Linked DNA regions of Solanum lycopersicum. The protein of the gene in region 2 interacts with the protein of the main gene of each other region in a pairwise test. Links are inferred from orthologs where the notes say so. Each region holds a gene or a part of one and is shown on either strand. Other genes may lie near its edges.

The links.
Region 1: the proteins of telomerase reverse transcriptase (region 2) and importin subunit alpha-4 interact in a two-hybrid assay, tested with the Arabidopsis thaliana proteins (2 studies listed by BioGRID, with this or other methods). The link is inferred for Solanum lycopersicum from reciprocal best matches to the Arabidopsis thaliana genes TERT and IMPA-4.

Annotation. Positions count from the first base shown.
Region 1 is NC_090800.1:86,575,308-86,579,638, forward strand, and holds the start of importin subunit alpha-4, read right to left. Parts: upstream 3,004-4,331; 5' UTR 2,762-3,003; coding exon 2,543-2,761; intron 1-2,542. UniProt on the Arabidopsis thaliana protein: Binds to conventional NLS motifs and mediates nuclear protein import across the nuclear envelope. Acts as a cellular receptor for the nuclear import of the virD2 protein of Agrobacterium and is essential for Agrobacterium-mediated root transformation.
Region 2 is NC_090800.1:77,809,134-77,812,960, reverse strand, and holds part of telomerase reverse transcriptase, read right to left. Parts: intron 1,576-3,827; coding exon 1,512-1,575; intron 1,424-1,511; coding exon 1,129-1,423; intron 628-1,128; coding exon 501-627; intron 201-500; coding exon 56-200; intron 1-55. UniProt on the Arabidopsis thaliana protein: Telomerase is a ribonucleoprotein enzyme essential for the replication of chromosome termini in most eukaryotes. It elongates telomeres.

The DNA.
Region 1 (4,331 bases), about 8.8 Mb from region 2:
TCAAATCTGAATATATCATAATAGATAATCACATAAGGTCATAGATTAGATCTCATATACGAATTACTACATACTATTACAAATATTTTCACTTTATCTGGAATTTTTTAAATTGAAATTGAAGTTTTGTTTGGTTATAATTTTTGCAAATAATATTTGGTTGTTTGCAAATACTTTTCCTTTAAAAAAATGAAGTAAAATTTAAATGGTGTCATTTTTATAAAACAAAAAAAATTAAAGTAAAATTTGAAAAGGGAAAATAAAGTGAATGAAAACAGGGTGCTGGGTGTTCTCCAAATTCCAAATACAACTTCATGTTGGGCAAGAGGTGCTTTGAAAGCATCTATTGTTTCTTTCTGTCTGTACACATCAAATTTCACATTCATGATTGTTTTTTAATGACAAGGGAAACCCGCAACCGCTGCCTTTCGGGTTCGCACAGGGTAAAACCCCGCTCCTATGCAATAGCTCGCAAACCACATAGGAGAGGTAACCTGCATCAGGCTTGCCTGGTGTGACGAGCTTAACCCAGAAGGCAAACCCCTTGCTAACAAGGGGTTTCAAGCTTGAGGCCTCCAACATGGAAGTCCCAAGCTCAAACCATTGGGCCAACCCGAAGGGTTTTATGATTGTGTTGATGCTAGCATCATTCATCTTTTGTTCTCATCTCTTCTTTCTACAAAACCTTGGTCCTACTTCCTCATTAGGCTGCGGAACTATTGCTGAAATTTGAAACTATATTTTCTATTGAAATCCATGGCTGTACTGATACTGAAAGTTAAAAACAATGTTTTAACTTTTATTTCGTATGTTCAGATTTTAAGTTCTTGACCTTCCTTAAGTTAAAAAACAATGTTTTAAAGTGAAAAGCACAAATAACCAACAAGGTTCACAAGGCTTAAAGCAAAAGGTGAAAAGGATAGTGTACCCTTCTTTGAAGTGAAGTGTACAATTTACAAAAAAGTTAAAAAAAAGTTTACACTATGAATATAGTACTATAATAGTGAAATTGCAAATAAAATAACTAATCCCAGCATCCATTATACAATAACAGTGATATTAATCCAAATCCTTAAAGTTGAGACTCAAAGAATCAACTGCCTATCATTTGGAACTCTTTGCTCGTCATGTTTGAAAGGTCACTCCTCTGAAGCACATATAACCTCTTGCTTTGCATCACTTTAAGCAGTGGATGGATCAAAATTGCAATCACTTGGTTCATATTAATGGATTTCTAAATATAAAGAGTTTTATCCTAATTATGTTGAAAAACTTCCACACTTTCTAACCCATATGACATTTATTTTGATGAAGCACATACCTTGTTTGAAGTGTGAGCTTCACTTCTCATCAAAGAGAATAACATTATCAAACTGAGTTTTGCTTTTCGGTTTTCATGTCTGTTATTCATTTTTGGATGAAATAAGAATATTGAAAAAATGAATAACATATCCATAATTGACCTGGGGAACAATCAATTATAGACATGTTATTCATTAAATAATTACAGACATACTAACCCAAGATTTTCAACTTTCTTATTCACACTTGCAAAAAATGTCATATACAAATAAAGATGTGAAAGAAAGGTGAAAATAAGAACTCAATTACAAAAAGAAAAGTTAGCTCTAATTATGAATATCTGAGATCACAAAGGACTTACCCAGGAGTAGTTTCGTTGATTTAATTAAAATTATTGTGGAACACTATATCTAAAGTATGGGTTCCCTTTTAAGCTCTTGCTGAGTTTAGTCGGTGTGCAGTTCCAACATCATTGCTATGCTCTTTTTTTCCTTTTTTTTGATAACCATGGTGTCCGAACCAACTTGCATGCACCTCAACTAATTCACAAGATACATGCCACCTTCCACCAGCCATAGGTACCAAGCATCACTGCTACTTACTAACCTACTCGGTCTACCACTCCCTCAATTTGATCAACCAAGTGAAATTTGGCAAATATTTTTAACATTTTTTAATAAATGAAGAAACATTTTTATCCATTTCTTACTAGGATGGTGCAAAACTATATACAAGTGATTGTGTGTGGCATCCACCATATGTCTTTATAACCTGTACAAACTGGCATTCTCTCTTTACACCCAAAGAATTGAGTTTTCAAATTACAAAATAATTAGTTATGCATAAAATTTCATTTTGTCTATCCCAATGGTAATCCAAGGCTGCACATCTTTAGAAAAAGGTATTTTTAGCGGAGCAAGTCAGCATCTAATTCTCTGCAGTGCCAAAAAAGATATAATCAAAGTTGAATATCTGGTGTTTCTTGCTTATCGCAAAAATATTTCCAAACAATTAATTAGGATCTCAAGGTGGACTACTAAGTGTAGTCAAACTTCAGCAACAACAATTTTTTTCTAAAAAAGAAAGAGACTTCGATTAATTCACTTCACAAGTACAAACTTTAATCGACCAATCAAATCAAGAATCACCGCATCGTTGAGATCAATAACAAAATAAACAAAACCCATAAAAATCTCAAAAGGGTATATAAAAAATGGGTATAATGAGTTGAAAAAATTACCCTTTTCTCAATAGCAGCAGGGGTTTGAGTGGCATCGGGTAATTGCTGAGAGTGAAGAAGAAGACCCTCTCTGCGTTTCTTGAGAAGATTGTCTTCTCGCTTATTCTTCCTGATCTCAACCAAATTGTCCTCTCTCCTTCTACGAGCTTCATCTGCATCAACCCCAATTTTGTAAGATTTCTTGCGAACTTCAGTTCGATTGCTGGGTCGAAGAGACATTTTTTTTGTGGGAAATTGAGGGGACAATGCCTCTCCCTCTCCCTCTCTGTAGACAAACAAGACTGGAAAAGTGAGAAGAAGAGAAAAAGCTTTTAGAGATTGAAGAATTCTCACTTTGGGTATTCTTGTTTTTTGCTTTAAAGACACGTTACGGAAAATTACAGCCTAATTTTTGGTCTTTGTTTAACACTTTGGGAGTTCCTATTAATACATTTTATTTTATTTTTATCTCTCACGCGCACACCAAAGAGATAATTAATCTGTCTCTATTATTATTATTATAAATTTTATATGACAAATTTATACATTATTATAACATAATGAGATGGATGTTACGTATCCTATCGTAATATATAGTGCTATTTTAATAAATATAATGTTTGAATAATTTTTTTTGTCCTCTGTCATTATGTAACATTATAAATCAATATTTGAATGATAAATTTACTAGAAAAATAGAGTACATAATAAATCTATTAAAAAAAAATATAGAGTAAAAGATGAAATATGATATTAAATAATTAACAAAGACAAATTAAGAAGAAAATATTAAGGTTTTGATGCAATCACACAAAATTGATTGTTTCATAAAATAGGTTTTTTCATTGTTATCTAACGATAATTTCAACAATACAATATAATAAGATTTAAATAACAACAAAAATAGCATTATATTTTAACTAACAATACAATAAAATGAGTAACGAACGTCTAAACAGGGGGTACACATTTGCAAAATTATAACTGGATCATTTTATTGCAGCATGCATGTGTGAGTTTATACTTATTATGCATTTTTCAATTGCTCTTTTAATTTATCAAATTTCATGTATACATAGTCGTATAGAATTTTGTGATAATTAGAAAATCTAATGAATTTAATATATAAACCTGTTAACAATTAGAAAAATCTGATAATATGATGCTAATTGAGTTATAAGTAACAAAATATAAAAGTAAAATTAAGATTGTCCTATACTTTATATTTAATATAAAAAAAAAGATATGCATAAACACAAAGGATTACCTACTTACATAATTATTAATTTTAATAGAGATAAAGTATTTTAAAGAAAAGTCGTCGAAAGATAAGCTTTATCAAAAAGATAAATTCAAAATACGTCAATTTTTAATTTTCACAATTTTATTCGATAATGATGTTAGATTCTCTCATGTAACTGGAAAATCAATATATACATTCATTAAACTCGACTTTAATTTATATTTTTTAAACATTGAGAAAGCCTTTTTAATAAAAAAAAACAATATTTATCCTTCGGGGGTGGGCCAGTGATTTGAATTTGGGATTTGTCATAAAATAAAAAACAGTATTTTTTTCTTGGAATAACTCAATTGGTGATCAAAAATTCGATAAATCAAGAGAACACATAGTTTTTATATTTCGTGAAAATGTTAAAGTGTGTAACATTATTTAAATACACTTTTGTTAACACAATATTTATCCAAAAAATATTTATATTGAATAAAATAATAATCGAATTATATGTTATTTAAAGAAATGTCATTATTCATGTTTTAATAGCGCACTTAGTTTCCAATATGGAAATAG
Region 2 (3,827 bases):
GAAGGAATAAACATAGATTATTATCAATAAAGAACAAGGGAAAGCTGTTGCTCACAGACACGAGGATGCGATGTTATTACAGTTGCTTCTGTGCATGCAAGGAGCTACCTCAGTAGAGACATTAACACCAAGGGATCCAAAAATTTCCTTGAAGAGTTCACGTGCTCCAGTAGAGTTTGGCTTCAAGGAATACAAGATGTCTGAGTATTCTTAAGTTTGTCAACAAAGTTTTCCCTAACGGTGGCACAGAGGGAAACAACAATCAGTTTCTATTTTAGTTCTTCCATTTCCTCGAGTGACATGGAAAAATAAAGACAGAAGCAAAACTCCTCTCTAATTAAAGGGAATGAAACCATTTAGCTCTTAAGAAGCAGAAAGTTTCAGAAAAAGTGTGAACAAGAAGTGGTGGAACTCCATCCCTTTCTTAATTTTGACTAGTAGCAATTGAAGTGAACCATAATATCAAGCCAGATTAGCATGGGGGGAAAGTAGAAGGATACGTTCGGACGGGAGTACTGATGAACAACTATCCAACTTGTACAACATGGTTCGCCTGTCGATTAGAATTCCCTTTTTGACCTCAGAAAGATGGTCAAAGACCGAACAACAAGAGCACCAAGCATTTGTCTGTTAATAAGAAAAAGGGAAAACCTTTTATTAAACCCAAAAAAAATGAGGGTGAAGATATAAATAGATGCTGAAATATTTGTGATCTACATGCAGAACTTCCTGAGTGCTGATTGTAAAAACTTTAACCTTTTTCATCAAAAAAGAAAATTTCTGATTGTTAAAATGGGGCTAAGGATGACTGATCCCAATACACACCCTTTAGCAATCCTAAGAAAGATAAGTAGGATTCAATCATTCAAATGCCTAGAAGTTATCAAGCTACTAAACATGCACTATAATCATCAAACTGCATCATTTCACAAGAATAAAATGCACATGCACTTAATGGTTATAAGATTGAAAACCTGCAACTGCAATATTCTGAAACATCATACAAGTTAGTGATCTCTTATCAGCATATGCATCACACGCAAAAAGGGCCATATTATGGTGTGTGAAAGACCACAAGCTAGATATAAAATCAAATTCGGTAACAGCAGTATAAGTTTCATAAATCACCTTTTCAAGAGGAGGTCTTGAATTTAAGATTACATCACTCTTCACATCTCCCAACGACTCGTCCTTAGTGTTAAAACTCATACAAGGGCTTAAGGAATGTGTTCCTTGAGCCTTCAACTGCCTAAGCTTCCTTTGACGCAGCCATTTAAACAGTCTTTTACACTTTCCATGCAATGGAGTATGTCTATTAGAGTAACATTGTCCTTCCCTCGATGGAAGAACTTCACAACAAGCAGAATTAACTTCAACAGATACTGTAGTTTCTGCAGATAACTTCTCCGTCTCACATTTTTTCCTGCAGCGCCAGGGCATGGAAACTATAATCCTACAATGACAGCAAAGCCAGCTAGTACAATTTACAGTAACAACATCAGAACACAAACCTAATCCCCATTTCTTTCCTTGCTGATGAGTAAACTTCGTCTACACTTCTCTTTTTCCTAGATTCTGGGATTAGCAACGGTTAAAAGTTTTAAAACAATTCAAACAATAAATCAGATCTACTTATGTTTAGCAGAAATCCACAACTTCCCAATATATTTAGAGATATATGAGAAAGAAAGAAATTATGACCACCCCGTGAAGCTAGACTTCTGGGAATTAAAGGAGGCTGCTCATTTGGTCTCACAGATTCAAGGCATATGCTGGTAAGGCTTTTTCTTCATGGAGACTATCTCTGTTTATTCCGAGACTATCACATATATTTGGGGTAAAGGACGAGAGTCGGGATGTTAATTATCAATTTAGAATTCAAAATGGACACTTTTGTTTAATCCAAAAGAGGAAACCTCCATTTCTCTTGCTTGGATATCTTTTCCTGATCTCCCCGTACAACTCTTTACTAAGAAGCTTTGTTTCCCATAGCTCCAGCAGTTGGAAAACAGTTAACTGTAGATAAAGCAATCAATGGTCAAACGAGGCCTAGTGTAGCTAGGGTCAGGTTGAGGTCGATTTATTATAAACTTTGCCGGATCAACATCAGAGAGGAAGCTGCATGTGAACTTAAGAAGTGTGGCAAGAAGTTGTATAAAATTGATTTCCTTCATATTACAAAAGTTGTAAACATCAAGGACACACTGATAACAATTGCAGATTGTCAGAATTAATATTAAAAGTAAGGATGAGGTAGATGCTTATGAAGAAGTGCACACCAAGTGGATTTTACGGATATTTTAAATGGCAAGAGGGGCAAGAAGAATATTTCAAGTAATAATGCTACGTAAATAGTAAATCATGGTAGCGTCAACAAGGGGATGGGGTACATTAGCTTTGATCCAGGAGTTTCATCCAATACTGATCAAGCACTAGCTACAGTTCCTGAATCTGGTGGAGCTAGTAAGAACAGGCAAGAACATGAGATTGTAGCAATTGCTACCACTGGTCAGATTAAAGAGGGACAGTTGCAAGCCCCAACTTCAACATGTATGAAGTAATAACTTCCACATGTAGGAGCATAAAAATTTCCTATTTTAAAAGCTTCTTAGTTTAAAAATTTCCTAGTGTAAAAGTTTCCTAATTTTAAGTTTCCTAGTAATTATCTCCATAAAAGTAATATTTGAATCTCATTCTATTTGGGATAGGTTTTCCCTATATATATGGAGTAATTCTTAACTTGATATCTTTGGTTTCTTCAAAAGTAAATTAAAAAAGGTTATTAGTCTTATACTGATAGTTCTCCCTAATTTCTTCGAAATAGGGGTCAAGGTCACTGTTGATCTAAGTTCTTGAACTGACTCTATAACTATCATAATTTGTTTTAATCCACTAATTTTGAATACTAAGAACAATTAGGGTTCTTAGCACTTTTCTTGAAGGATTTTAATCTCAAATTTCACATATCTTTCATCTTATGCTGTTAATGTTTTTAATTTTGCTTCCACATTAGTTTATTCTGGTAACCTGATTCTTATTACTATGGGTGAGAGCTCTTAATGTACTGACAAAGCTGGTAATGAGGAATTCATGATGGTTCACAATTCAGGTAAGGACGAGGGTAAGGTTTCTAGACTAAAACTCTTGCTATGCCTATCACTAGTCCTTATCAAAATGGGTTTGAAATTTTGGCAAAGGCTCGAGGGCAGGGCTTGCGACAAAAGGAGAAGGATAGTACTGTTTCAGATTTGGCATCAGGCAAGGGACAGAAAAACAGAGGGGCTTTCTTGGTCTGCATGAAGCTTCAAGCAACACAGAGACAGTGGCTTCCATTTAAAGATTTGAAACCTGGTTTTACTCAACTTTAAAAGCTAGCACATGAAGGTAGGATCGCCTGAGTCCATAATAGCAGTCCATCAGTTCACTCCCCAAACAATATGGGAGTCTAACTCACTCTAACACCCCGCTCACACCCGGGCCCAACTGGAGCATGCACCGAGAGCCCAAATGGGCATGGACCTACATCTATTACTATGTAATACAATGGAAGATCTTATTATATTCCAATATATGATCAAAGCATAAATACAATACATTTGGGGCTAACTTAGGAAAGAAATTCAGAGGGGTTCCTATAAATAAGATTCCTACTAACTGTAGCTATGTACATTACTAATATTAAAATCTAAACATTTTGTAACAGAAACTAAAGGAGCAATAGTCTCTTTCTTTGTGCAAGGAGAAACATTAATTTTGGCTGATTTATAACTGTACAAGGAGTTACAAGATCTGTCATTATTATTCCAGATATCACATTTAATGCTGGA